Linked DNA regions of Oreochromis niloticus. The protein of the gene in region 2 interacts with the protein of the main gene of each other region in a biochemical or structural test. Links are inferred from orthologs where the notes say so. Each region holds a gene or a part of one and is shown on either strand. Other genes may lie near its edges.

Region 1 (10,301 bases), on a different chromosome or scaffold from region 2:
CAGCTTAGCAGAAATCCCCCAAATTAGTTAGACAGGCTGTATCAAGTCTTATCATTTGGGATTATTCAGCTAAGAAAGCAAATAGAGGTCAACAGATTGTGCTATGTGGAATTTGTCTCCACGCCAAGAACACGGCATAATCGGGGAGGGGGGGTACAAGCAATTCCTCCTTTACAGAAATTCCACAATCAGAAATTCCACATTTCTCTGAAAAACCATCCAGTCTGCCATCACAAAAGGACACTTTGATCATGTTTGTTCCTGTTTCTTCTCCTTTTCCCACAGTGAGAACACAGATAGAGGGAAACCTTTTTCTCTTGTCAGAATTTCCCTACAGTTACCGTCACATTTCTTTAACCTTGAGCCGGAGTTTTGATTCCTACCACTCATACTGACAGAGGACGGAGACCTCTGGTCCAGACATGTCTGTCCTCTACTTAACCCCTGTCACGAGGCTGAAGGTATCCTGACAGTATGCTACGCAGCTTCCTCTCTGAAGCTGATGGATTTACCTCCATAGGTCAGACCGGCCACATTTTCTTCTCAGAACAAACAGAACACTGTGACAGTCTGCCATGTACAGACACGTCTGTGATGCTTAACAATAGAAGGCACCGGGGGCACAAATGGCCACTGCACTGAGCCCAGCCCCTCTTCATTGTGTGTGTGTGTGTGCGTGTGCATTTTACAGTAATGATGGCAGATTTATTTAACAGTTTGTGCACTTGGGTCTAAACACAGTGGTTTTACTTGAGTACAAAGAAGTTGTATAATTAAAGTAACTGTGATGTACAGTCCCATTTGTGTATTACTGGATTACTGCTGTCGACGCACTGGGTGTTTGTACACTGTATATTTAATCATTGTTATTAATCTCTGTCTCTCTTCCACAGCATGTCTTTATCCTGTCTACCTTCTCTCACCCCAACCAATCACAGCAGATGGCCCCGCCCCTCCCTGAGCCTGGTTCTGCCGGAGGTTTCTTCCTGTTAAAAGGGAGTTTTTCCTTCCCACTGTCGCCAAGTGGTTACTCATAGGGGGTCATATGATTGTTGGGTTTTTCTCTGTATGTATTATTGTGCGATCTACTGTACAATATAAAGCGCCTTGAGGCGACTGTTGTTGTGATTTGGCGCCTTCTTTGGCAGATGTACCATGAAAGTGTTGCAACTGTCCACTAGTCTCTCACTAATCAGCTTGAAAAAGTCTTTTACGTAAAATTCATTCTGTGCCAAGATGCTTTAGTGTTTCTTGCAAAAATTACCCAAGAACAAGTCAGTAGAATATAAATCAGAGTTTGTTAGGTATAGAAGTCACTTTGGTAACCCTGCAATTCTGCTTTACGTACTATTCGCTGGTGAAATTGCTAATGTGCTAAACAATTCAATGTTAAAAGGTGAATTTCTAGTTAAACTCTAGTTTTTAAATAGATGGTATAATATCACCTGCAACCACTTTTCTAATTAAATCAGTGATCAAAAGGTGCTCCGTCCCCCAGCAGCAAAGCAGCCCTACACCAGCACATTTCCATCATCTACTTCATACTTGGTTGTTTTCTTCCGTTTACACCAGTTTCCTTTAAGGGGTCTTCACAGTGGTGTCCCTAGCTTCCTTTTCTGTCACACCAACCCTCTCCGTGTCCCCCTTCACTACATCCATGAACCTCCAAAGTGTTTAACCTGAGCCGTCCCTCTGATATTCTGAACTGTAATCCTGTCCATCCTGCTCACTCCCGGTGACAATCTTACAAAATCTTCAGCTCCCCTGTCTTTCTGTCCGTGCCACGGTTTCCAAACCATACATCACAGCAGGTCTTGCTGCCATGTTGTAAACCTTCCTTTTCATTCTTGCTGCTATTCCACAGTCACAAATCAGCCCTGACACTCATCTCCACCCACTCCATCCTCCCCGCTCGCTCTTCTTCACCTCTTTTGTGCACTTGCCATTACTTTAGATGGCTGAACCCAGGTATTTAGACTCATCCATCTTCACTATCTACTGCTCCCCTGTCATTCACACACATGTATTCTGTCTCGCTTGTGCTGGCTGTCATTCCTCTTCTTTCCAGAGCATATTTCCACCTCTCCAGGTCCCTTTCCACCACTCTCACGTCTCGTGTCATCAACACTCTCAAAGTTGGACCTCAAATAAAGGTCCGATCTTTATCTGGAACTTTCCACTTTTCATCCTCCTCACAGCTGTGCTCACTTCCTCTTTATCAATTCTTTGAATTTGATAATTAACTAATTGTCCTCTGTCTGCCTCTCTCATTGTCTTTATTCATCACTCTCTTTGTACATTTCCATATCTATGCTGACTCGAAGCTGCTGCACATCTTTTCTAGCTTAGTTTCTTAGCCATTCTTCATACTTGGTGCTGTTAAAAAGCTGTACCAGACAAATGTACCTGTGATTTATCTGCACGGAGCATTAAAATATCCCCCTCTCCATGTTACAGTTTTTCTTGACCTGCTTAAAGAAATCACTCAGTTTTCATCACGACTATCTCAGCAGAGCAGAGGACACCTCCCGGAAATGTGTTAACCTTTCCTTATTGGAGTGACACATTCCACACAGCCTTTTGAAAAACATTTTTCACAGATGTGATTGAAGCAGAATGTGTCACTCTGACCACGAGCGCCGCTGTTCAGGCCTGAGTTTGCTGTGATGCAGTGGTCAACTCAATCAAGAAAAACTGTAAAATGTGTCTGTTTGAGTTCACAGTTACAACCTCCGCTTTGATATTTTTATGTTAAAAAAGCTCATTAAACAGCACATTATACACATCCTAAGTGTATAATGTGCTGTTTAATTAGCTTTTTTCAACTGAAATTTACATTTTAGACAGAAACTCTAGATTTCACTCTGAGTCACTTTGCTGATCAAACTCTGCGAGAGAAGGATGTCAGTAACACAAAGTAACATCATCATTGCTTTAAGTGACACTTACTGAAAATTATGTGACCGTTAGTTATTGTATTTTCTTGGTATACAATTGGATTGAACATGTATTACTAGCCTTGTTATGCCCTCATATGGACTCTCACAGATGAATCCATCCAAGTAAAGACTGATGCGGTTTGGCCCAGACCAACTGTATCATTTGGGAATGGGGGAATTCCCCTCAGCTGATTTATTGCCAGAGGCATTCCCCAGTGGACAGTCCTGCACTGGGTTGTGCAGTTTGTTCCTTGTGTCAACAAGTTTAAAATGTATGTTTTTCACACAATTTTGTGACGTGAAACTTTTAATAGTTGGATAAAGACTGCATGACTTTCCCTTTTCTGCGCTGAACAAGGGTTAATGGCTTGTTCTCAGTTCTTGGCCTGATCTGCAGATCATGGATTGAGCAACTGCAGAATGTTGTACCAAAGCGAGGGAAGAAATGAGAAACAGATCTGTTGTTGTGGGAGGTTGGTGACTGACATTGTAACACAGCCAAGAGAAACAGAGGAGCTGTATGAACAAGAGTGAGGTGTGGTCGCTAACATGGGAGTTCTTTTCTACCTTTCGTTACATATAAGTCATTATTCAAATGGAAGAGTTTTCTACAAAGATTAACTGGTAACACAGAAAATTAAATTATGGAACATATGTATCTACATGTGTGAAAATGTGAAGCCAACACACAAAATGCTCAGTGCCAACAGAAGGAAATAAATGTTACAAGTTCAAATTAATGGCTGTATCTGTCAACTGAAGCACGGTTGAGTGGATGATGTTGTCTTTTACTACTATCTGTTGTAGACAATCACACATGAGTGCACACGGACAAACAATCACCATGGCACAGGCACACAGACTCAATCAACACAAAAGAGGAAGCTGCACAGCTGTGCGATGTTTTACTGTGCTGGGTGCCTGCTGCCATTTTGCATATCAAGATTACACACCAATGGCAACACTCAGCCAGCGTTCAAAAGGCAATCTTCCGCTTTCCGAAAGAGCTGCTTCTGACAAAGTTCACAACAGGAAAAGATCTTTCCTTCTGTTTGCACTATTCAAAATAAAAAACAATTCTGAATAGAAAAGGAAGACTTTACTTCAACTAGACAATAACGAATTAGCAGCGAATGGACAATGTTGAGTTGACGCGCTTTGATCATTTGTAAGCTAAAAATGAATTTTATTAAAGATTAACTACAAATGTGACAGACATGAAAACCATTTAGTAACACTATACTGGATAATTTACAAAAATGACAAAGGAAGTTGCTTTTTAAAAAAAATGTCTACAAATGAATTAAAACTATTCAAAAAGACACGTCGTATTTTCAGTGTAAGGAAAAAAATATCATTCAGAGCTCCTGGGATTATATCCTCCTGTCATTAGTAAAAATAACTGTAATGTACACTTCACAGACTGCTTTTTAAAACTTTTCTCATCCATAACTTTGATGAAGCACATTTAATTCTGCAAACCTCTCAAGTTGTTGCCCCTTAACATAATTATTCATTCATATATGAAGTCAGTATATACTGAGGAAACAGCAACAATATAGTGTACTTACATTTCTCCCAGTGCATGCTGCCTATCTGGTTAATATCAGATAGTTAAACTGAAGAAAATCAAAGTGGCGCGTCAACTGACGTGCTTTATAACAGCTAGAAGCAGGCTAGCAATCCCCTGGGATGTCATAGCTTCGCTAACCACAACTGCATCTGTTTCACAGTTGGTAATGTTTTAGTTGAATCATACCTGCTACAGCTATTACATCTGAAAGACAGAAACACACAGGCCCAGGTCAAAAAGAACTGAAGATGAGAGAGCAAGCGCATAAACAACATTTAAATAACCCATAACTAATTAAAATACTCTCAATGAAAGTAGTGCAACAGACTTCTTTCCCTGTTAGTCTTCTCTCAACAAGCAGACCTAATTTTGGTTAATCTGAAGATGTTATTCTGGCTGTCACTCACAGAAGCTGTCATTACACATTCAGAAAACTTTAATTAGAAAACCCAGCGATGAATGACTTTTTCAGCGTACAATGGGAGCTTTGAGATCAACTCATGGATGGATGGATGTATTATTGTAGGGTCTACCTTACAATGTAAAGCATCTTGAAGTGACTTGTTGTGATTTGGCGCTGTATAAATAAAATTGAATTGAATTGAATTGAATTGAATTGAATTGAATGGTTGGATGGATGGATGGATGGATGGATGGATGGATGCATGGATGCATGGATGGATGGACGGACGGACGGACGGACGGACGGATGGATGGATGGATGCATGGATGGATGGATGGATGGACGGACGGACGGTTGGATGGATGGATGGATGGATGGATGGACGGACGGACGGACGGACGGACGGATGGATGGACAGATGGATGGATGGATGGATGGATGCATGGATGGATGGATGGATGGATGGATGGATGCATGGATGGATGGATGGATGGACGGACGGACGGACGGTTGGATGGATGGATGGATGGATGGATGCATGGATGGATGGATGCATGGATGGATGGATGGATGGATGGATGGATGGATGCATGGATGCATGGATGGATGGATGGTTGGATGGATGGATGGTTGGATGCATGGATGGATGGATGGATGCATGGATGGATGGATGGTTGGATGGATGGATGGTTGGATGCATGGATGGATGGTTGGATGCATGGATGGATGGTTGGATGCATGGATGGATGGATCCCCAACGATGACACAAAGAGTGAACTTCAACCTTCTTTGCTTGCTAATGAAAATTGTTCCAAATGTAGCCATATGAAGCACAGTGCTACTTATTCATATGGTTGAGGCGGTTATACAGTTGCACATAGAGGCACTGTGAATGCGCCAACATGACTGTGTACAAGAATGTATGAATCTGAACACATAATGTCACTTCTACTACAGGTGCTATTTATGTGACAGTCTCTACATGTACTACATGAAGGAGTTGCTCTATAATTTGTATTGAGTTATAGAATACCGTATGTCATAGAGAATGGCATCCTATTCTAGACTGTCTTTCTTCAGCATTTCTAGCTGTGTGAGAAAATCACATTTCTCTTTTCTCACAACTTGGATACAATTTGTGAAACCTTTGACAAACTTTTTGCAGTTGTTTCCCATATTCCCAGTTTTTAGCCCCCAGTGACTTTATCTCACCCCCTTGAGCATGTGAGGTTAAATTAACCATAAGATAGTATTAGAATAACTCCTGACTCCAAAGTAAACACAGTCAAACTGATTTACATCCCAAGTAATTTTTTTTCCAAAGCAGTCCTTTTTTTTTCTTTCCAAAACATACAGGTTAAGGTCAAAGGGATAGAATTTCTTGAAACATGGGAAGATTTGATCAGGAATTGTTCACGAATGTCATCACAGTGAAAGTAAATCCTGTATTTCTAGGTTCACCAGTGCAGCGGAGCCAATGTAGCCGGATCTGTCTGGCTGCCATGAAACATCAAATAAATAGATTTGCCAGTGCTGACCTGTTTGGGCATGAGGACTGAGAGTTAGTCCAGCCTCCAGTGTAAACAGAAGACTTGGATAAGAGACAACTGGTTTTAAAAACCGTGGCCAGAACAAATGAGGCAAGCAAACATTAATGAGCTGGTTAGAAATCACACCAAGGTGTCTGCAGTGAACAAGAGGACTTGCCTGCTTGACGGGCCAGAGACGACCTTTTTTTCTCTGTTTTTTTCATCATTGTACAACAGCAGCGTACTCTTATCTGTTCGTGTCACATTATATGTGATTCAAAAGACATTCACTCTAAATGGATCCTGGCTGTATACTTTGAGGGTAGCTCTCTTATTTTTGTTTCTCAATATGCCTCAGTGTGTTCGACAGGAAGATAAGGAATAAAAATGTTCTGTAGCCACATTTAAGGTGGAACACCTTGAGTTAGTCAGACACAGCACAAGTGGATTTGGGTTGCAAAGTAGCTTGCAGATGTGGCAGCTGTGGGCAGGCTAAAGCAGATTTAATAAGATGCCCTACAAGGAATTTTGCATTTGGTGGGAAAGAGTATGACTGGCACTGAGATCAGCTGACCTACTGGGATTACAGCAAAGTTTGACTTGATAATGATAATGCTTAATTTATTTACTCTGAGTAGAAAGTAATGTTTATTGTCCTGAGCAACATATGCTGGAATGAACTGCAATGGATTTTCCCCTTGACTACACATAGTAAACCACGTGCACGTGCTGCTCATCGTGTATGTGATCACATTCTTCTTCTCTTATAACAATTTTAAAGTTACAGTAATCAGTGTTAGCCCACGCTGCTTTTTTTATATGGCAGCCTATTTGATCAGAGAACGTGCAGCCGATGAGATGGCTGCAGAGAAGCTTGCAGAGGTGGGGTTAGGGGCAAGCAAAAAAATAAGATCATCATCAGGTTATTGATATCATGAAGAGCTTAAATATTGGAAATGCCTCATAAAGTATCAAAGGTTCAGTTCTAATGACCAAAACTGAGGATTAATAGGCAAGATTAATAGAAAAGGTCATAACTCTAGACTCAGTTCTAACCCTAGTGTGATTCCTGAGGTTTGAAATTGTGAGGTCACAGAAGTTAAAAAAAAAAAACCTAATACATTTAAAGGCAGGCTACATCACTTAACAAGCAAAGTTTGATGAGTAAAATTCTGGTATCCTATGAGACTAAGAGCTAATTATTTGTGCCTGCACCCATAAATGTAGCTGCTAACAAACCCTGCTTGCATTACCTGATACTGAGGCTTCTAAATGAGGGAAAGGATTAGTGATTTCATGGTGGCCATCTTTTAAATCTAGTTTACAGTTTTGACTCAGGTACTGTTTTAGGGTTAGGCCTAGCTTGACCCTTAGTTTTAACCTATAAACCCACAGTTCCCGAATTTCACTTCAGCAAAATACAAAACTTTTAATGGTTAGCAATGGTTAGTCTGGACTTCTTTAAGTAAAGAATTCCAGACGCTTTTCTTTCCAAGCTCCTTAGACTAGGATGACCTGGATGACTGAGAACCCTCACAGACATTACACTGAGAATATTAAAAATAATTAGCAGAGTCATATTTTGTTAACAACAAGATAATGAGATGAAGACTGAAAGCAAATGACACAAAATGACATTATTACTGTATTACTCTTATTTATGTATTTGATACAGTCATGGTGAAACAGGAAGTAAAATTAGACAAATACAATAAAACATGACATGTTACAGTTTGAAATGTTAACTTTTTATGCCAGAACTGGATGTGCTACAATATGAGTCTTTACCATCAAAAGACCCAATGCTAAATGCAAAGCTAACACCCTACCTCCTGCTGCCACACTCGCCCCTCCCAGCCAGTCGATATTTGCTTTCCCTGGAAAACAGCATCGCTGCTCAAAAACAAACACCTTCAGGCTCTCGTTTCCCTGTAAACTGCAGCATTTTGCCAAGATTGTCATTTGGCTGTCTCAAAGTGACCTTGAAATCATACACACAAACAATCACGACAGCGGGAATTTGATTTCTTTATTTATTTAGTGAGCAGGATGAAATTGTTCAGCTTCCCTGTGAAAAAGCATTATGATAATGCTGCTAAAGTAGAACAGAGTGACAGTGAAGTGTATTTGTTGGACATGAACTGCGCTTCACATGTTAAAGTAAATGGATTGTTTACTTCATTTCCATACATAGTGCATGGATACCTGTTCCAGGCAGGTGTGAGTTAAATGTAGAAAACAGAAAAGAAAACCTCTGTGAGCTCAGACTGTGTTCAGAGCACAGTCGACATGCAGCAGGCAGTTATGGTGTTCACAGTCATTTCATTGTGGTTAACTTCCTCTTTTGGAGTTTAGTCACTGGTTACAGTGCAAGCATTTAAAACTGAATCAGGGTACACACTCAGAATAAACATTTATTTGTATTACATTTATATTCTGTTGTAAATATTACATATATTTTGTCACCTCCAAAGGCCACACATATTATATAGATTATATAGATTTCAACATGCTTTTCTTTGTAAAGCATCAAAATCTCTGACTGGCTTCGTGTTTTTGAGAACTCAGAACAGGAAGTATATTGGGGTATATACTTGTTCCTTGGTTATTTTCATACTTTTGCCCAACAAAAAGCTTTGAGCCTGACACAAAGCAATTTTCTTTTTAAAAATCTCTTCATCAGAAATCATTTTAATTGTAAGGCATGCTTTTTTCTATATCTATATAGTTTTTTCTTGTGTTTTTACATGGATATATCCTGTGTAGTCACTGTCAAATGCTCATTCCACAGCAGGAAACATCTGTTAATGTGGATATTTTATTTTAAAGTTTACCAAACAAGGGTCAAAATATTTCATTAGAAAAAAACACACGTTTGTATGCATACATAACAAAGAAATATTTACCCAGCCAAAATTTATTAATTCACCATCTAATGCAACTAAAGGCTAAAAACTACAGTATTTGCTTCTGAATTGAAGTAGAATACAAAGAAAAAGTACAAAAAGAAAGTATTGGATTACACTACACTATTGTGTTGCTGCAAAACGGTGTGCAGTCAGCTGCAAAAATCTGGAGGCTAAATACAGTGCTATGCATGACCCTGAAACCGGTCTGAGTTAGTCTATCTAGCAGCACAAATGGGAAACACCTGCATGTACTTCACAGTTCACTGAATAGCAACACACTGCAAAAAAAACTGTTTTTATTTTAATAGTAGTCAGTGCCATCTGCTTTGTCTGTGATAGTTCAAACTAAGAAGTGTCTATTTATGCAGTTTTATCTAATCCTGTCTTACTTTTCTGTTTCTACTCACAATCAGCGCCAATAAGAAAGAAAACTGGAAGTCGTGCATTTCAGCACCACGATGCTATTTCCACAGATGTAAACAACACATTTACATCCTACTTACTGTTTTTTCCTGGAAGTGAAAATGTCTAGAATTTTCCATTCTTAACTAAACTCCAAACTCCAACTAAAATTCATACAAATGAAATAAATAATAATACAAAGACCGAAAACACAGAGAAAATGTTCAAACTCACTTTCTGAAACTACACATGTCTCATGGCAGGTCCAACAAGTCCATTCTTCTCATTATTTGTGTTGCTGGATCCTGTATGTGTGCAGTGTATGATGCAAAGTGTAGTTTAATGCCAACAGCTGATGCAAAGAGGTTTGAGGATGACAGAGGGGATAGTGTGGCTTTGTGGACACTGATGTGGATGGCACGACCAACTGTCCTCAAAGACTGTGTGAAACCAAAGGTGTGTGTGTGTGTGTGTGTGTGTGTGTGTGTGTGTGGGGTGGGGGTGGGGGTGGGGGTGGGGTGGGGGGGGGTGGGGGGTATGACTGAA
Region 2 (10,448 bases):
GAATCACTGAATGACTCAAATGTGTGATCCCTCCACTTGGATCCACACAGTTTAAAAAGTTTACATCTCTGAGCTTTGAAAGACACAGTGTTGGAAAGAGAAGAACGATGGCGACGTTTTGAGGGTAAAATGATGGCTGTAGGGCAAACACTGTGGACCCAGCAGCAGTTGAAAGGGAAGTGTTTAAAATGAATCTTGGCACAGTGAGAGAGAGAGCTTGTTAAGCAGGCAGGTGTGAGCCTGGTTGCTATAGTGACTGCACCCAATGGCCCCATACACACGCAGACATGCACCTCACTTTTGCTGCTTAAAATGAACAGAAAAGTCAGGCCGAAACAAATCGCTCCCAAATGAAAAGTATAGGTCGTATTGACAAAATTCTTTCACCGTGAGCGGCAGCAATGTCTAGTCTACCTAATTCTCAGTTTTCATGCCTGTGGAGTTTATTATATGGACGTGGTGACAGTGTAAAAACACCATGCTCTTCTGATTTTCAAACGAACCTTCTGAGCCATTTTAACATTAGAGTCTATGGAGGAGTTGGAGGGAGGAGGCTGTGCATTGGTGACATTTATGAAAGAACCATAACACCTAGTACAATAGTAAACACATTGGATGAAAGAGGACAGCGATGGCTACGTTTTGAGGGTAAAATCATACCTGTAGAGCAAACGCTGCGGACACAGCAGCAGTTTTAAAAAATATTTTAAGATTAATTTTTTCGCTCCTCTCACTCTGGCAGTTGAGCTGTCTCACTCTAGCCCCAACATTCCGTCCCATACACACCCATTATAAACTCTGAAACGGCTGTAAAATCATCATGAAACTTAAACTGGAACTGAAGAAAAAGTATAATAGATATTGAAAAGATAAATACAAGTTGAATAGTTGAATGTCTTGTCTTCGTTTTAAAGTTTGAATGGTGGATCTATGTCAACGTATCTGGAAGTACATACAGTTTAAAGAGGAGTAAGTTGAAGGAGAATTTGAAGGGTCTCCCCATTGAAATACATGGGAAATTTTTGCTGAAAAAAGTTGAATAATTTTAAAAATATAAATGTTATAAATGAGAAAAATACAAGCACACTTGTCCAAAAGAAGAGGAATCTAATGGTGTTTGAATGGTTTTTCTAAGTTGAACGGTTTTGAAGGAGATAGATGCACAAAAACGTACGGAATATGATATAATAATAATAATAATAATAACTAGAAAGTGCATTTTCTGAAGAAACTGCAGTGTGAATGCTTGAATCTGAATGTATGCACTGAAATGAATTAATTGCTGAATTTTAAGTTAAAAAATAATAATGTTGAATGAGCTGGAAAATGCAGAGTTTTTAACCTGAAAACAAAAGTGCAGAACTTTTGAAAGCTGATGTTCACACAGAAGAAGTTGGAAAATAGCTGAAAAGTTTTTAAATTAAAATTTCGAAAACCTAAGAAATGAGAACAGAAAATTTAGAGTCAGAAAACATCTGAATGAATATTAAAAGGTCATATTCTTTGAATCACTGAATGACTAAAGTGTAATCCCTCCACTTGGATCCACACAGTTTTAAAGGTTTACATCTCTGAGCTTTGAAAGACTTGCTGTTGGAAAGAGAACAACGATGGCTTCGTTTTGAGGGTAAAATGATGGCTGTAGAGCAAACACTGTGGACACAGCAGCAGTTGAAAGACAAGTGTTTAAGATGAATCTTGGCACAGTGAGAGACAGAGCTCGTTAGGCAGGCAGGTGTGAGCCTGGTTGCTATAGTGACTGCACCCAATGGCTCAGTACACACGCACACAGACATGCACCTCACTTTTGCTGCTTAAAATGAACAGAAAAGTCAGGCCGAAACAAATCCTTCCCAAATTAAAAGTACAGGTCCTATTGACGAAATTCTTTCACCGTGAGCGGCAGCAATGTCCAGTCTACCTAATTCTCAGTTTTCATGCCTGTGGAGTTTATTATATGGACGTGGTGACAGTGTAAAGACACCATGCTCTTCTGATTTTCAAACGAACCTTCTGAGCCATTTTAACATTAGAGTCTATGGAGGAGTTGGAGGGAGGAGGCTGTGCTTTGGTGACATTTATGAAAGAACCATAACACCTAGTACAATAGTAAACACATTGGATGAAAGAGGACAGCGATGGCTACGTTTTGAGGGTAAAATCAGACCTGTAGAGCAAACGCTGCGGACACAGCAGCAGTTTTAAAAAAGATTTTAGGATTAATTTTTTTGCTCCTCTCACTCTGGCAGTTGAGCTGTCTCACTCTAGCCCCAACATTCCGTCCCATACACACCCATTATAAACTCTGAAACGGGTGAAAAAACATCATGAAACTTAAACTGGAACTGAAGATAAAGTATAATAGATATTGAAAAGATGAATAGAAGTTGAATAGTTGAATGTCTTGGCTTCGTTTTAAAGTTTGAATGGTGGTCCTATGTCAACGTATGTGGAAGTAGATACAGTTTAAAGAGGAGTGAGTTGAAGAAGAATTTGAAGGGTCTCCCCATTGAAATACATGGGAAATTTTTGTTGAAAAAAGTTAAATAATTTTAAAAATATAAATGTTAAAAATGAGAAAAGTAGAAGCAGTCATGTCCTAAAGAAGAGGAATCTAACGGTGTTTGAATGGTTTTTCTAAGTTGAACGGTTTTGAAGGAGATACAGTACAAAAAACGTACGGAATCTATAATAAAATAGAATAAAGATTAGAAGAACAATACTGTGAATGCTTTTACAAGCATTCACACTAATAAAGATTACAACAACAATACTGTGAATGCTTTTACAAGCATTCACACTAATAAAGATTACAACAACAATACTGTGAATGCTTTTACAAGCATTCACACTAATAAAGATTACAACAACAATACTGTGAATGCTTTTACAAGCATTCACACTAATAATGACATTAATCCACTGTAAAGCTATTTGCTAGCCACCAGATTCATGACTGCAGCGGCTGGTGAACTGTTGACATGAAATTCGTGATGTTCAGTGATATGACACTGAATTTCTTAAAGCTTCTTGGCTTAAGACAACTTGTATGCACTTTCACTGTGTCACAGTTCACTTATCAATACACATGCAACATCCATTTCTTATGATACATTTTGAACTTTTGCAAATCCACAAAGTTTAACCAGCACATGGGTTGGGATGGTGAGGGGCTGCAGAGGTGTGTGCCTGACATGGCCAAATTAAGTCTATCCTCTTGTAAAGACATCATACAGAGCTGAGAGTAAAAAAAAAAAAACTACCTGAAATTGAGTTTCGAGCAGTTTGAAGTCTGACTTTTTTAGCTCATGAGGATTTTTTATAACTTATACTTAAGTTTAATATTAGTAAACATGACTGTCTACATGAAACATTTCACAAATCACAATTAAAGAAAACTGAAGAAAAATAAAAAATAAAAGGGAATTAATTTCACACAAATTTGTTTTACATTAACCTTTGACATTCAGCTAACTTTTGCCTGCTGTTAGCTCGACATTTTACACTCATTTACACTATGATCCATATCTATGCCCAATTTTGTATCACCGCTCAACCTAACATGTATGCCTATGGATTGTGGGAGGAAACCCGAGTCCTTTCACAGGGAGTACATGCAAACTCCAACACAGGAAGGCCCCACCTGGCTGGCAGATTAAATCCTATAATGCCCTTGCTGTGAAGCAACATCACCTCTAACCACCACCCCTTCACGTTTACCATACAGACATAAGAGTGGTATTAATCTTCTTATCCAAGTCCTGCCAAGCCAGTAAATACGTGTATTTCTCCCAGATGTCCTTTCAGTGGTTTAACTAGACAAGCAGGCATGGAAGGTATATTGTAAACAATTAAATCTTCAGACAAACATAAGAGAGAAAGTTCTTGCACCACAGGTGGCATGAGAGTAGCAGCAGCATCAAAGAGACAATGCTTCAAACACCATCCGTGCTTCCAGTCTATGCAATGTATTTGCACTTTCTAGTTCGCTCATTCCAGTCAGTCAACATGAGCTGGAATTTAGAGGATGGGAGTTTAACTCCAGCCCGGTCAAGGTTTTCCACTTGACTGGGCTTCCACTCAGCAGCAAACAAGTTTTCGGAGAGGATCTTGGCCAATGCACAGCTACTAGCTTGCTTTGATTTCAGCATAACAATCTACTGCCAAACAGCATTATGTCTGGAATGTGCTGATGATTCTGCCAGCTCTCACTCACCCATTTCCTCTCCCTCGTTTCTTTTAACACTCCCCCCTTTCCCACATACCCCTCCCTTCCCATCCTCTGTCTCCATACTCTTCTCCCATTTGCATTACATTCATTATCCTTGTCTCACAACTTCCTTCCTCCCTTTCTCTCAAACTCTATTTTCTGCCTCCCCTCTCCTCTTCAAACTATCTCTTCCTTCCACATTTCTTTTCAGAGTCTTCCCTCCAATCTTTTCTCATTCTCACTTTGCTAAAGAAAAAAAACTGTGCATGTCGTTATGTCCGACCAAGAAATTCAAATTCCTCTAGCATACCAGCACAGCTTAACATTCTCATTGGTTTGGATCGCCCCACTTCCTCTTGTCTTCCTCCCCAGCCCCTCTCCCACATTCTCCTTGGTGCTCTCTCTGTAGTTTCATTCCTTTTTATTTGCTTGCTCTATTCCTCAAATTAATATAAAGAAGTGGGCTTAATGAGTGTCTCCAATGCATTCACAATTGGTAGATCGTTTTTTTCCTAGCTAAATGATGAAAAAAGGGACATCCTCATAATTGACCAAATTCAGACATTTGACATCCCACTGTCTTTTATTGTCTCTTTATAAAAATGTCATACCCTCTTTATATTTCTCCAGTACTCCGTATTTTCTCTTGAGTTCTGTTTCTACAGTAACTGAGAACTGAGCAGAGATACTCTTTTGTGGTTTTTGTTTAGAGAAGAAGTGTGCATGTGATGTATATGTGTCCAAAGTAAGGTGTCATATTTAAATGCATGTGTGATACCGTAAATGTGAGAAGTTGTGTCTGCTGTGCATGCAATGATGGTGTACTTCATATATTTACAAAGAAAATGTGTTGCACGCTGCCCGGTTACAGTAGAAGGCTTACAGCCACTGTTCACAGGAGGACAGCAGGATTATTTACAAAAGTCTGCTCTTTCTCTTACTTTTCTTGCTGTCTGAGTGTCTCTCAGCCTTCTGTTTGCTCCTGCTGCAGCTTGCCTACTGGGACAACGCACTTACATAACCAATCATTCTCTGTAATCCCAGTCTGTGCAGCAGCTCCTCCCACCCCCACCTCACACTACTATTTAGCTCCCCCTCCTACCCCTCATCCCTCCTGATGGTAGGTGGCTGTGTGTGTGTGTGTGTGTGGGGGGGGTGGGGGGGCATGGTGATGGCTTTCCTTATGTCCAGATTGCTATGAAAGAAACAACATGACCTCTAAATCTTAATCCCAGCCAGTTACATGTGTCCAGCATCAATACTGACCTCAATCTCTGCTATACCTGTCCAAAGTCTCTTTTTAAAACCCGTTGTTATTTTTTTTTTTCATTAAAACTGCTGATTTAAATGTCCAATTTCTAAGGATTTATCTGTGGGACTTGTTGGTTTAAGCATATGTGCAGTTTCCTTCACTTACATTATAGCGGAGAGGCAAGAGATCAAATTCAGTACAGATACAAGATGCAGGCGAATAGTATAATGAAGTGAAACTAAGATGAGAACCTGCTAGACGAGCCTTGATTTTAAGGAGTACAAGTGTGAGCATGCGTTGATACTCGTTGTGAACGGTGAGAATATTTTCATTTTACAGTGTGAAATAGCTTTAAAAGATATGAAGTAAATTGTGTGGGATGCATTCATATATGCGTATATTTATTTTCGTATTATTGTTTTTATTATAAAATTGAACCATTTAGAGCAACCTGCAATTCGTGCAAGGCGCGCTCCCGTGGCAAACTTAACTGTGCGCGCTCTGGAGCGGCTGGTACTTAACGCCTGCCGTCTCGTCTCTGTTCCAGGAGCTGTGCCAATGTGTACATCGAGCAAACGAGAGAACGACGACAGAGAGGGATCCTGTGTCTGTCCTGGTGCCACACATTCACCTGTTTCTCCGTGGTGAACTGAAGGACAGTTCTTTCGAGGTAAGCGGGTGTGCCGCAGAGAGTGAAACATCAGATTTTCGAGTGGCGTGTGTGTCGGTGAAAACAACAGCCCCGTTGTAGCAGACGCTAGCTTCCTTCGTTAGCGCAGTGCTAATAATGCTGGCGGGTAGCTAGCCTACTGTCCGGCTTGTTTGCTGATCTTTTAAACGCCTCTTGCCTGCAGTGGTTAACGGGTTGACATGCGTAGCGACTAAACGTTGTTGTTAACGTTTACTAACTGGTGTGAGTGGGGAAAAATGGAAGGGTACCGCTTCTTAGCATGTTCACACACCAGCTAAGCTAACAAACTCACCGACTAAGCTAGCTAGTAAGCTGTGGGATACTGCTTTACGGCAAGACGAGGCCTGTGTGCCTCGTCTTGCACACAGGAAACTGTTTGCTAGGATACGCCGTTGTCTGCCTTGCAAAGACAAGGCCATTTTGCTTTCAAAGTAGGTTAGACCAGGTCAACAGAAACTCGTCGTGGCATTGTTTTGTGTAGCACTGTTGCTGGCATAACGGCTGTAGAGGAAGTGATGACTAATGTTTACTCCAAGTAAAGGTTACAGTCGGAGTCGGCGTGTTTGACTTGTCTATTATAAGACTAATGTCAGCTCCTGGTCGTTATTGATTATTAAAGGGCTCTAATCGCCGTTGTTACATGTTCACTGCAGTTTGCATTCAACGAGCAGTTGTTGAGCGGATCACGTAGTCCTTGACGTGGACACCTGTAGATGAGTTATGAATTAGGCTGGGGACAGATGCACAGTGGTATTACAATATGACCTTTCGCTGAAGTTGTATTAAAAAAGCAAACCTCCATATTGATCACAGTTGTTACCCTACTTTACAATACCTCTGCTCAGGCTGGATGGATCTAAGCCGAGGTCAATAAAATAATAAAGCCATACCACTGTTTATGTAGCACTTTGCATACAGACTCGGAGTCCATAGCTCCTCACAGAGTAAGACGAAATAAAACGAAAATAAATTTACAAATTAAATGAACCTAGACAAAGGGATGCACAAGTTGTAAAACTCTGGGATTGTATTACAAAAAAAACAATGTGGCTGTTTAATTCTTTCAGCTTTTGACAAATTAAATACTCTCTAAACACAGACCTCCAGCCTCCGAAGTGCTGGACTTGTGTGTCATGCTTGAAACAGTATTTGAGATTTTACAGTAAGATTACACGGCAGATGTCAGTCTGGTCAGGTGTAGGGTCTCATTATCTTGAGATGCAAATTATTGGAAGTACATGATCTGCCCTGCAGTCGGAAAAATATGGTCTTTTCAGCATGTTATAAACATGAGAGATGCAGGTGTTGATTGGGAGGTGGGAGTCTGTTCCATTGCCTGTTAGTATTTGGAATTGCAATACAGGTTTTAATAATTGCAAATTGTATTTAAATATCTTCTTTTAGGATGTGGTTGATTTTAGTTCACTATAATTAATCTCCCCTCTCCTTGAAAACCAGTTATTGGGCTGCATTTAGAGGTTAGGTTAGGTACAAGTTCTGCATTGTACCTTAAAAACACTTTTTTACACACTGAAATTTTGCTTATTTTGCTGCAGACCACAAAATCAGAGTGAACCTTTTTCTTTCAGAGACCTTACACACCCATATGTATGCACTCAGCTGTTTTAACTGGTTGATAAAGTTTGTCCAGCTATAACGTGTCTTTAGTCAGTCTAACTGCATTTGGGAGGGAAAAGAAATACAGCATGTACACATGTATGTACGATCAGTCTTGGTTTCTGCTGATTGCCACAGCTAAGTGTTGGTTGTATGTAATGCAGCAGTAGAGATGAACTTGTTTTGACCCAATGGTTTTCCATAGCTTTCAGAGAGGCTTAGTCACTTGGTAGTGTAGCCCCAGGGTGGTTTTTATATGTGGATGAAAGCTGACAGATGCCAAGATGAAAGGATTTATGTCACTGATAGAAAGACTCATCCTTGTGAAATCCTAAAGCTCATTAAAATGCAAGAAAATAAAAGCTTGCTTTTTCATCTTTCATTTTACAGACTGTATTTAAGAGGTTACATCTGGAATGGGTTTGTTTATTCTGACCAATGTAAAATATTGTTAAATATTTCTTTTATCAAATCTCTAATGCAGTATTTGCTCTCAGTGGAATAGCACTTGGAGTTAAAGGCAGGAAATGTCTGAACCATCTGACCACTATGCAGCAACCAGCCATTGTTAAAACGGTGACAGAAGTGGATGTGTGGCCAATCCCTCCTGCCTTGCATGCACACGCGCTTGTTAAGGAAAAAGACTACAAACTCTATGGGATTTTTTTTTTTTTTTTGTTTTTGTTTTTTGATGACCAAGGAAACAACCTGCAGCTTATTGTGTTAGCTTACCCGGCGAGGGTTCTGCTTGTTGGCTCAGAAAATTCTCAGATGCTGGTGCTTTGTTTTACTGTACTCATCATCTTAGACACGACAGTGCCAGGTTTCCACCACAATACGTTTGGTAATCAAACATGATGATGACTGTCGTTGTGTGTAACCCTCAGCTTCAGCTCGACATAAGAAGGAATTTCCTTTTTAATTCTGCCAGTTGTCTTTAGGGACAGTCTTTTGTATTTGACTTCTGAACTGAGGATAACGTAACCACGTATGTGTGCTCACGGGCAATGTTGTAGGGGCACATACTGCTTGTTCTGATGGTTAAACATATCTTCACTGTGAATTCTAGTTTCCCACAGACTTTCCTCAGGTAACCCTCCCAGGTATGTTTGCCAGCACATTCCTGCACTCAGTATACTTGAAAGGTCAATTGCTGCTGACTGCCTTACCTCAGTACTTTTACTTGCAGTGTTTCCCAAATGACATAAGTATGTGCAGACCTCATTTTGCTTTCATGCTGTTGTCAGGCTGTATTATGTTATGATGCTTCCTGTGCTTGGGAAGACTGTCCCTGGTTTCCCGTGGTGTTGTCTTTCTGGGAAACACTGGTTTGTTTCATCACTGTGCTTGAATCTTAAAAAGGTGGTGTGCATTTGATGTGCCTCTTCTCTTTCCAGCAGTAGACCCTTTTGCTGTTAGTTCTTGGCCAGTTGGTTTAATTAGCATCACATTCCACCCATTACCTTGAAAGCTTAGCTGGCTCGTCTTGTATTTGAAATTCAAAATTCATTTGGTCCATCTGAGCTGCCTGTCTACTTCTGTTGCTGCTCCTGCTGTCACCTGACTACCTGTGTGCTTGTGCATGCATGTGTGGTGTCATATGACACAAGAGACTGGAAATTTATTTAAAAAAAATATCTTTATCTTTGCCAGTCTTACAGCAAGGGTGGACCTGAGATGTATACCAAGTTGTCCTTTTGACTAATTACATGTGGAGTTTCACAATAACTGTGATTTTTATGTTGAGGTGTGTGAAGGCAACTCTGAATCTCTCTTTAGATTTTTGCATCTCTTACTGTGCCGGCACAACTTTAGCAGCCGGTGTTGAAAAAAATGACAAGAGTGACAGCTGTTCTTGTCCAACCTAATACTGGCGGTGTGTGAATGTGAGAAAGACAGCAGTGAGTCATCGGCTCACTAACAGTGAGGTAATTCTAGATCTGCTACTAATGCCAAAGGGAGTCCCTGCTTGTTTTATCTCTGTGTATATTTCTATACTAGATGCTAACACACAAGATGGGTAAGTGTGTCTGTGTGGTTGGTTTTTCCTCTGCCTTGATATCCCTGTTCTGTGTGGCTTCTCCATGGTAACAAGCTGCTAGGCTGCATTGTTCCTAAGTTGTTTTTCCTGCCATGGAAAAGGGCCAACTGTTGACTGGGTCTGGATTTTGAAATCAGTCTATTCCATTCCTGTAGCACTGTGAAATCAAACCGTAGTTGATTGGATACTACTACTACTACTACTACTACTACTACTACTACTACTACTACTACTACTACTACTAATAATAATAATAATAGTTATTGTTATTATTGTTATGAAGAAGCCGCCTGTGGCAGTCAGACTGTACACTGGCAGAAGTGAGGTGTAATAGCAATCCGATGGGTCATGTCAAATTTTTCAGCAGCCTGAATGTGTTAGCATTAAGTGAGATTATTAAGAATGCACAGTGACAGCCTGCTGTTAGTTCACCTATGCAAGAGAGCATCTTGGAACAATTGCACACACAATCAACCAAGTTATGTGAACATTGCTTAAAGGCTAAAAGGAACCATTAGCCAACTGCCTGCTTTGCGTGTTCATCAGTGCAATCATTTTTGTCTGAGGTTTTTTTTTTTTTTTTTTTTTTTTTTTTTTTTTTTCTCTGTTCACAAACTCAGTTTCAGATTGTTTTGTA
Region 3 (11,000 bases), on a different chromosome or scaffold from region 2:
AGATCCTGTTGAGACTTTTCAAAATAAACTCAATCACGTGAAAGAGCAGATTATTTACAGATGAGAAGCAAAACAAGAGCCGCCAGGTGCTAAAAAATAAACCTTAGACTCAAACGTTAGAACAGGCTTTTCCCCGCAGCACGCTGTGTAATAAATACTCACAAAGAAAACGGCGGCCGTTACCACTTATGTCTAAAAATGTATAGTTTCATGCATCGGTTAAAACACTCGACTCCAGCTACATGACGCGCAGCTGGAAACACTTCCCGCAAGTCGAGCTGCCCGAGATTCACATATTTTACAGAAAATGTTACATTTTTGTGATTTATATCGTTATCGGACGATAGATGTCTTAATATCGGGATATGAGATTTTGGTCATATCGCACAGCCCTATTTCCCACTTACAAAATAACTACCAAAAACTGCCAAAAAGTGAAAAATATACTTCTTAGAATTGAAAGTAAGATGTGCTGAAGAAAAGATGAGACATCAAAAGACAGACACATTATACAGTATAAGAAGGAGATTTCACTGAACACCCAGTGGCCCACTCCTTCACACAAATACCCAAACAGCAATAGCAAGTCAATGTTGCCACGTTGTGCGGCACACGTATACTGTTGAGGTTCAGTTTCAGCTGCGTGGGAGTGGGTGTATCTCTCTCAGTCGTTATTGTAAAGATGGAGGTAAATACACTTCTTGAAATGTTCCTTGGCTCATTATTGAGTTCAATGCAAATGTATTTATACAGCATCAACTGACAACAGCAGTCACCAAATTCCCCTTTATATCCCATGGTTCATGTTCACCTGAACCTTATATAGATTTTCTTAAAAAGTAAAGTTTTAAGCATAATTTTAAAGTAAAAAATACATTTTTTTTTAAACCCAAGCTGGGAGCTGGTAATACTTAGCAGTATTGCACAGATGAAAGATGACAGTCCTATATGTGATTTCAGTATGCAAGTTAAAGAACATATGCTGGTCAAAAATGACTCACATTACAACAGGAGGACGCAATAATGCCACCCAGAGTATCAGGTTAGACAGTATTTTGGAATTTTTTAGGGCCAAATACAGTGACCTCAGTTTTGTTCGAGTTTTGAAGTCAAAAATTACAAGACATGCCTGTAGCTTCAGTAATGGATTTTCTCCCTGACTTAATAGTTAAAGAAAATCAGTTATTATCTGTATAGTAATAGAAATGTAACCATGTATAACTGCATTGCTCTCTGCACCACATGAAACCCTATAGAACTCATGACTCCATCTTTTGTATGACAGGAAAAAAACCCTCCAAGTTTACATAAATAAACTGGAACTGGACAAATATGATTTAAAGCAGCACAGCAGATTTCTACCATCATCCTTCTCATCTGAAGCAGCGTGCCATTTGATCAGTGCTTTATAACTTGCAACTGGGACGGGTAGTTATTTTTCTTTACCTCATTCTCAAACTAAGTCAACATTTTTTGTGTTTGTTTATTTAACGGTCTTATTTGGCTATAGGTGGAATTTTATACACACAAGACCAATGAAATGTATGCACATTTAGAAAGAGGCTTCAAAACAACAGCTACAATAACTCCCAAATTGTTACAAAGGTGGCTGTCAAAAAAAGCGGCAAAATTTCTTTGTAGACTAAATTTGTGCTGATGTTAAAAAATATCTACACACACAAATTAGAAATAAAAAATGAAAATTAAAAAAACTGATTGCCCGTTATCCCCATTATTTGCAAGAAATCTGCAGCTTAATCAGTGATGGAAGAATTAGTCATGAGAGGATCACAAGAACCTAAAATAACACCATGGCTACAGTGGAGTCAGACTGTGAGACCTCTCACGTCATCAGGTGGTGTACCTACAATAAGATCCAGATGTTCTGAGGGAACAGTTCATTTCTTTGGCTCTTTCTTTCGGGATCATGGTGCCTGTTGATGTGAGATCATTTACAACTATCTACATTTAGAACCAAACTGAAAAATCGTCAATTTTCTCACATATATAATAAGTTACTGTGTGCCGCTGTGCCATGCCTCGCCTTAAAGAAGCTTTAACCCCTACTCTACCACCGAACTTTCTCATCTTTGATTACTAACATTTTTTTCCTTGTACATTGCTTTCAGAGAAAAATATAGCAAGAAGTAATTTAAAATTCATATGGTCATTTTCAAGGCAATAATAGAAATGTGTCTGTTTCTTTGGCCACACATTAAGACTACGCTTAGAGATTTCTTTATGTTTTGAGAAGAACAAACGTCCAGTCATGGAAGTCCAAGATGTTCAGAAAGCAACACACTGTGGTGCGTCCGTGTAAGACTGGAGCTGTTTTCAGACTGCGTGGGAGTCAACGGGTCAAAATAAAAAAACCTCTGATTGCAGCTTTGAGAAAGAGTCGAGCCTGCATATCCTTGATAACAACAGTTTAGGCTTCGAAACCCGACATCAAAAATAACATAGAACTTTTAAAGAAAAGAAAAGGAAGGAGGACAACGTCTGCTCACTCTGTTTATGTGAACAGCTGACGAGTCCAAATCCTTCCAGGCAGCAAGACACAAAAATAATCAGAGATGAAGCGTTGTTTTGGACGAAAGACAAGAAACAAGGATGGGAGATTATTCTTTCCTCAAAGTGTAATTAGAAATTTACTGCATGCTACTTCGCATTTCCCATGGAAATCAGTGAAACTAAAATCCACCTTCCATCATCTCAAAGTCTCCCTTATTTACATGTTCTGACTTGTTTGTTGAACTAGTGTAAAAATAGAAATGGAAGCAGTGATCTAACGACCACTGGGAGCGGGGAATGCACACAGCACCTCTAAAACCCTGAACTCATCGTGAGGTTGTTGGGTTCAAGCGCCGCTGTCAGCTGAGCCCTGCCAAACACAGGTTGCAAGATAAAGCTGTAAATCAGACAGAATCGAGACACGGAGTTTCTTCAGAGCTCACCAAGTTAAATTTAAATGACAGCATACAGAACGACATTCAAAACCTGGATTACAATCATAATATCCAAAGTAAGTCCATGCAGTCGAAAACCCACACTGACAAAAGAAAGTGCAATGATAGCCACAGCATATAACAATAAGTCCCATGACACAGCTGACTAAATGGATGCTACCTGGGGAGACGATGAGCAGTAGAAAATAAAAAATAGATGATAGATTACCCAATTAAGGAGGAACAGCTAATATCAGCACCCTATTTTTATTCTTGGACTGGGCATCATTCATGGTTCATTATTTATCTTTATCAGGGCATCCAGTTCATCTTCTCTCACTCAAACAAGCTGCTTAAACAAGCCATTTAGAGTCTGACCTAGAGTCTGTGGAAGGAGCCAGTTGAAATGGTTTGGACATGTGACCAGGATGCCTCTCAGAAAACCTCCTACAGTAAAGGGAGTTATCTCTCCGTACCAGCTCACCCTCAAAACGCACATTTCGTCAAGCTAGGAACACTTTGGTGTTTAACCAGTGCTCCGCTGGGACTGCTGTGGGACTTTCTGGTTACAGGAGCCATTCAGCTCCTCAACCAGTGTTTGCACCAGAGAAATAAATGCTACTTTCAAGTGCTCACTTATTCACAAGAGGTTTCCACGACAAGTAGCCTCGTATGTTTGATTTGACAGGTGGTTACTTTACCTATTCTGGCCTTAATATTAGCTGGAAGCAGTCTGATAGATAACAGCTATTTTTTCCAGTAAAAACTGAGTAAATCTATCAAAAATCTGCAGATTTCAACACCTCAGAAAAGAAGATTGTCTTCACACTTTAAGTGTAACAAACCAAGACTTCTGCTCAGCAGCTGTATTTCACGTTGTACAGAAACAGCATTAAATACGTAATCAGATCAATGAAATCAGCTGGTTGCAATTAAACACAAAAGCTTTAAAATATGCAAATATCGAGAAAGATTCATTTGAAATACAGATTAACTCAAGATGTGCATGTAATTAGCGAAACATCACTACCGTGAGGTTTTTGTTTTGTTGAGTATCATTATAGAATTTATGTTGCAAAGACAAAAATGAGACAAAAGTCAAATTAACATCTGAGATCAGTGTTTATGTGATTCCTGCTTCATTTTCTTCTATACCCAAAAGGAATACTTCGCACTAGACAACAATTAATCCAATCAGAAAGCACTACTTGCATACTTTAAATGAAAAAAGTACATGTAGTATGGTAACACTTTAAAAGCAGATAAAAGTAAAATGTATTTAAAAGGACAGTTAGTATGAAGCAGACTTAAAGACGCCAACAGAGCCCTATGCTTTCTGCTTTATAGATGACAACAAAGGATGGGAGGCGAGTGTGCTCCTATGATTCTTGCTGACAGCTTGTTTAATCCTCTGATACCTGCTCAAGCAGCAGGAGGCTAATCAGCTAAGCTAGCTAGCTAATCAGCATCTAAAGAAGCTAATGTGGAAGCTAACAGGCTAGCCAGGCTGGCAGTTGGAAAATTGGGTCAAAGAGAAAGCTCAGGTAAAAGATAAGGCGGTCGGAATAAGGAGCCGTTAGCTCTCGGTTAACGGACAGTTTTCAGACACGGTACCTTTTGGAAGTCAGGCAGCCGAGGGGGGTTAGCAGGCTTGAGGAGCTGGTTGCTGCTAGTGGTAACGCTAGCTGGATGGTCGTTGGATCCAGCTGTTTTTTTCCCTTCTGTCGCCTCTCTGTCTTGAAAAGCACAAAGACTTTGACATATGGGCAGCACAAAGCGCCGGAAACAGGATGAGCGCTCACTCTGAGGAAATTTCCCAGGACCACGTAGTGTGGAGAAAAGAAAAACTTCACTTTCTTTTGGATTTTCAGGCTAAATAAAGCAAAAATAAATAAATAAATAAATAAATCGTGTTTGTGTTTTCTTTTACTCGTACTGTTGTGCAGCGGGGTAGCTTATTCACTGTGGTATATTGTAATAAGCAGCAGTTATTACTACCTCCCACCCGCAGGTGGCACTGTGGTATTGTATGTGATTGAAGAGTGTTCGTAGTAAAAAAGACCAGACCTCCACCATTGCCTCGTCTCAGTCCTCTGTGCTTTATCAAAGTTGGCCTTGGTCGCAACTCATGTTAAACTGGCAGTTGGAGCAACGCTGCTTAAAGTCATAACATGGTGTCAGAAGTTGGCAGGACCGTGTGAGCAGGGACCGACCGCGACGTGAGTAAGCTAGCTGTGGATTAGCTAACGGTGGACGGTGCTAACGGCATGGAGCAATTCAAGCCACCATCGCCGCTACTGCTCACCGGCAATTTATCTGAGACCTGGCGCAGGTGGGAACAAAGATTCAGACTGTATATGACTGCTACGGGTGCGCTGGAGAAAGATGAAAAGGTTAAAACAGCCATTCTTCTCCACACTATCGGCGAGGAGGCACTTGAAGTGTATAACACACTCACTGTAACCCCGGCCGGAGACGCGCTAGCTATGGAGGACATTCTGAAAGCGTTTAAGGAATACTGTAGTCCACAAAAGAACGTTGTTTTTGAGCGCCATACATTCTGGTCATACCCAATGTCAGCAGGTGTAACAGTGGACAGATATGTCACAGAACTCCGTCAGAAAAGTAAAAGTTGCGAGTTTGGGGTCAATGAAGATGACATGATCAGGGACAAGTTGGTGTTCAGCATAAATGATACCAGACTAAAAGAGAGACTACTTCGTGACAACGACCTCACACTGCGCAAGACGATAGAAATATGCAGATCAGCAGAGGTGGCCAAGTCACAGATTCAGGCTATGCAGTCAACAACTGCACCCCAAGACACGTCAGTACATGCATTAAGGAAAACGCCAGGATACATTAAATCAGGACACAGTAAAAACAAACCGAGCAACGACAAGCAAACGGCTTGTTACAAATGCGGCAACAAACACGCGCCCCGACAGTGTCCAGCTTATGGGGCAACATGCCACAGGTGTGGGAAAAATAACCATTTTTCAAAAGTATGCAGAGTGGGCGCAGAGAAAAGTAGAAATTACAAGAAAACAAAGACTATTAATAACATTGAGACTGATGGGGACTCACTGTACATAGGTATGGTGTGCAGTGACAAGCACCAAACTGGAAGGTGGCACGAAAGTGTAACAATCGGGGACGCATCAGTCACCTTCAAGCTAGACACAGGCGCGGACGCAAATGTGCTCCCCAGATCAGTTTACAACAAGTTACCAGGGATGCCTCGGTTACAGCCCACGAAGACGGCACTCATAGCTTTTGGTGGGGCCCGCATACATGTAGATGGTGTGGTGTCTCTTGAGTGTGAAGCAAGGAAGCACAGGGCTGTGTTTGATTTTCTTGTGTCGGACCATGCAGATAAACCGATCCTAGGTGGGCGAGCTTGTGAGGAGCTGCATCTGGTGAAGCGAGTTGAAGCCCTTGCCTTACCATCCGCTGTACCGAAACCAGCCAAACCACCTTCTACCAAGGAAGAGCTTGTGGAGATGTATGCTGATGTGTTCACAGGCTTGGGTGAGTTCCCTGGAGTCCATCACATACACACTGACGCAAACGCAACACCTGTGATTCATGCATGCAGGAACGTGCCCCTCTCCATAATGGACCCGCTGAAGCAGACGCTACAGGACTTACAGAACAGAGATGTCATAACGCCTGTCAATGAGCCCACAGATTGGGTCAACAGTCTTGTCGCCACACAGAAGAAGAACGGAACACTAAGGGTGTGTTTGGACCCTTGTGATCTGAACCAAGCAGTTAAACGCCAGCACTACTCCATTCCCACACACGAGGACGTTCGAAGCAAGCTAGCAGGAAAATCCATCTTCACCATATTGGATGAAAAAGACGGATACTGGCAGATCAAGCTGGACGAGCCGTCATCGAAGCTGTGTACCTTTAATACACCTTGGGGCCGGTATCGCTTCCTCCGGCTCCCATTCGGGATCAAATCCGCCAGCGAGGTTTTTCAACAAAAGAATTGCGAGACTTTCGGCAGCATTCCTGGTGTATTTATCATTGCAGATGATATGATCATTGCAGCTACATCAGAGCACGAACACGATGAGATCCTGCAGAAGGTCATGGAGAAAGCAAGAACAGCTAACGTGAAGTTTAACAAGGACAAAATTCAGTTCAAAGTCGACACGGTGAAATACATGGGCCATATCATCACAGCAGCTGGGCAGAAAGCAGATGCTTCAAAGATCAAAGCTATTGTTGACATGCCGACTCCGGAAGACAAACAAAGTCTTCAGCGTCTGCTGGGAATGACGAAGTTTTTGGCACAGTACATTCAAAATGAAGCATCACTCACAGCACCTTTAAGACAGCTACTCAAAAAGGACACAGCGTGGCACTGGCAGCCGCACCACACAGCAGCGCTACAGATGCTCAAGGCGACGCTCACACAAGCACCAGTGTTGAGATTTTATGACCACAAGAAACCCTTAACATTGCAGGCCGATTCTTCAAAAGATGGGCTGGGCGCATGCCTATTACAAGAAGGGCAACCTGTGTGCTATGCGTCACGAGCACTCACAGACACAGAAAAAAGGTATGCACAAATAGAAAAGGAGCTGCTAGCCATTGTGTTTGCCGCTAAACGATTCCACCAGTATGTCTATGGAAGACCAGTAACCGTGCAGTCTGATCATAAACCCCTGGAGGCGATAATGCGTAAGCCGCTATGCAAGGCACCAGCAAGGTTACAAGGAATGCTGCTGCAATTGCAGAGATATGATCTCACCGTCACATACACCCCCGGCAAAGACATGTTCATAGCCGATGCACTTTCACGAGCCACAACCACTAGTGACAACGAGAATGTGAGTGAAGACACAAATGAAGAAAGAGTTGTGTATGCTCTGGAGGCCACAGCAGCGTTGAGTGAAAAAACACTGAGCAGCCTGAGAACGGCAGTTGCAGCAGATAGCGTGCTACAAGCTGTGCGTGAAAGGCACCTCAACGGATGGCCAGCCAGAAGGAAGAGTTTAGACAGAACACTCCACAGCTACTGGCCTATGAGAAACAACATCAGTATCCACGATGACATTATTATGATAGGGGACAAGATTGTAATACCCCAAAGCTTCAGACAAGTGATCCTGGAGAAGTTGCATTTCGCTCACCAAGGTGTACAGCGCACAAAAGCCAGAGCAAGAAGAGTACTGTACTGGCCGGGCATGTCGCACGACATAGAGACTATGCTTGAGAAGTGTGAACAATGCCAGCAAATGCAGCCACAGAACCAGGCTGAGCCGCTTATTCCACATCAGATTCCAGAGCTGCCATGGATGAAAATCGGAGCGGACATCTTCGAACTGAACGGTCAGCCATATCTTTTGTTAGTTGATTATTTATCCAAATACCCAGAAGTTCTTAACTTACCTGACAAAACGGCACACTCTGTGATTCAGAAGATGAAATCAGTCTTCGCAAGACACGGAATTCCCAAAGAGATAGTGAGCGATCATGTTCCATTTGCCAGCTACGAGATGAGATCGTTTGCAGCATCCTGGGAGATAAAGCTAACTTTCTCCAGTCCCGGCTTTCCTTCTTCAAATGGAATGGCGGAGCGAGCCATAAAGACTGTTAAACATGCACTTAAAAAAGCGGCGCGAACTGGAACAGATCCACATCTAGTGCTGTTATCTCTGAGGAACACTCCAGTCACAGGACTGAGTGTGTCACCTGCACAAATGTTGATGGGACGGGTTCTCCGCAGCACACTGCCATGCGCCAGTGCTGTGTTGAGACAGTCAACCCCACAGAACATTCCAGATAAGGTGCGTGGACTGCAGTCAAAGCGGAAATACCACTTTGATCAGCATGCAAGACCATTGCCTGTTTTGACCTCAGGCGATACTGTGCACATGCAAACACGGCGCGGTTGGGAGCCAGCTGTTGTAGCACATCGGCGAGAGGAACCACGCTCCTACGCTGTGCAAACACCAGAGGGTGAGGTGCTCAGGCGGAACAGGAGACATCTGAGGAAAATACACCCAAGTCTGTTTAAGGACACATCCATGGACCCAGATGATCTGTCTGTTCACACCCAAGAGCCAGTTGCGCCACCAGCAAGTGACACCCCACAACACCCTCGTCCTGCAAGTATGGACAATACACCCACATGCTACACACGCAGTGGCCGAGCAATAATACGCCCTGCCAGGTATAGAGACTAAGTGATTTGGAAACTGGAAGTCGCTCTACCCTGTACCTGAGTTGTTTTGTACATGTCAGATAACTGTCCTGTTGGATTAGAGCGAAATATGTCATGTTTCATATGTTCATTCTGACATGTCTCATCCAATTTGTCACGTGTTCGTCTGTTTCAAAACTTTGCACTGGCATGTAGTTGCATTGTTCAAATGATAGGCAATTTAAGGTGTGCTTGACCTAATGTTCCATGAATATAATATTGATAATGTTCCTACGGTTTAAAGGGTACATTCATGTTACAAGATATTGGAGTTAAGAGGTTGTATCTTTATCTCGGAAAGGAGGGATGTGGTATATTGTAATAAGCAGCAGTTATTACTACCTCCCACCCGCAGGTGGCACTGTGGTATTGTATGTGATTGAAGAGTGTTCGTAGTAAAAAAGACCAGACCTCCACCATTGCCTCGTCTCAGTCCTCTGTGCTTTATCAAAGTTGGCCTTGGTCGCAACTCATGTTAAACTGGCAGTTGGAGCAACGCTGCTTAAAGTCATAACATTCACTAAGGTGCAAGGCAAGAATAATACACATTTTCAAAAGAATTTGAAATAATATCTAAAAGATTTCATGGCATTGAAAATAATGTCAAACGTTTTTTATTTATAAACAAGAGTTTACAAAAAGTGTTTTCCAGTAAACGTACATTAGGTAGTAAAGTAGGTAAACGTATTAAGATCCCAAGTCCCCCCAAAAACACAAGAACAAAAGACAAAACCCACATAAACAACATGATTAAAATGAAAAGCACAGCGAAATTACCATAATAATAATGTTATCAATAAACAAAATAATAAGTTAAATAAGGGGGGAAAATCCTAGGATGACTGGGCTAGGTCAGGGTTTGAACAGAGTTTGCCTTTGAGTTTTAGGCAAAAGGGACTGAGTGAGAGAAACTGCTCAAAGCTGGAGACAAAATAGTCAGAGGCTTTAATTCAGTGTTTCTCATGTAGAAACATAGAAATTGAAATTGAAGAAGGGGGGACGTGTTGTTGCTGTTTTTCTTTTCCTTTGGACCATTTTGAGGTCCAACAACTGCAATTTGAACAATCAAAGCTATGTATCTATGTAACTGAGAAAGAGTGGAGCTGGACAAGCCGAGTCGATTTACATTAGCCGCGCTGAGAGGCTTTGATAACTGTTTAAAAGTCCTTTAGAAAATGCGAAAATAAAATTGTAGATAATATATCAAACAAATATTATTAATTGTTCTGACAATGGTAATAATGAATCTTGAAGAATTGAACAAGAATTGAATTAATAAAGGTGGAGACGAATAATGTGCAGAAATGTGACCTTTATTGGATTTTTTGACCAGATGTGTCCAAATCTTTTCCTTTAATTTTTCGAAGATTCAGAAAAATAAGAAAGCAAGAAAAGGACAATGATGAGTTAAAGTTAGCATTTACAGAAATGCAGAAACATCAAGTTCACACAACACACAGATTGTTCCCAGTGCTCTTAAAATAACCATATTTTTCTTACCTTTGAAACCTGCCTATGTAAACACCGCTTTTACTTCTAAAAATTTCTGACTATTAATATCTAGTATCCTAATAATGAACTTATTTTAATAACCGGAGCTATTATTTAAAAAGTGGAGCACCGAGTCTGTGTTGTGTCTCTCGGTGTCTTTTTCCTTCTGGTAACTGAGGCGTTGTTTCAATAGACGATCTTTGATGAGGGCAGCAGCGCAGACGAAGGAAATGAAGTCCGTTATATGGATCCGTTATCCTTAGAATAAAGACCACACTGAAATCCTGAATGGGTTTTTCATTAAAATCGTAATTACATGATTATATAGAATCACGAAGGGCAGT

The links.
Region 1: the proteins of siah1 (region 2) and pou2af1 form a complex in vitro, tested with the Homo sapiens proteins (2 studies listed by BioGRID). The link is inferred for Oreochromis niloticus from reciprocal best matches to the Homo sapiens genes SIAH1 and POU2AF1.
Region 3: the proteins of siah1 (region 2) and sncaip form a complex in vitro, tested with the Homo sapiens proteins (2 studies listed by BioGRID, with this or other methods). The link is inferred for Oreochromis niloticus from reciprocal best matches to the Homo sapiens genes SIAH1 and SNCAIP.

What each region holds. Positions count from the first base shown.
Region 1 is NC_031979.2:750,194-760,494, forward strand, and holds the start of pou2af1 (POU domain class 2-associating factor 1), read right to left. Parts: upstream 4,669-10,301; 5' UTR 4,527-4,668; coding exon 4,511-4,526; intron 1-4,510. UniProt on the Homo sapiens protein: Transcriptional coactivator that specifically associates with either POU2F1/OCT1 or POU2F2/OCT2. It boosts the POU2F1/OCT1 mediated promoter activity and to a lesser extent, that of POU2F2/OCT2. It recognizes the POU domains of POU2F1/OCT1 and POU2F2/OCT2.
Region 2 is NC_031972.2:63,380,763-63,391,210, forward strand, and holds the start of siah1 (E3 ubiquitin-protein ligase Siah1), read left to right. Parts: upstream 1-5,954; 5' UTR 5,955-6,132; intron 6,133-10,448. UniProt on the Homo sapiens protein: E3 ubiquitin-protein ligase that mediates ubiquitination and subsequent proteasomal degradation of target proteins.
Region 3 is NC_031977.2:31,798,311-31,809,310, reverse strand, and holds the start of sncaip (synphilin-1), read right to left. Parts: upstream 4,751-11,000; 5' UTR 4,560-4,750; intron 1-4,559. UniProt on the Homo sapiens protein: Isoform 2 inhibits the ubiquitin ligase activity of SIAH1 and inhibits proteasomal degradation of target proteins. Isoform 2 inhibits autoubiquitination and proteasomal degradation of SIAH1, and thereby increases cellular levels of SIAH.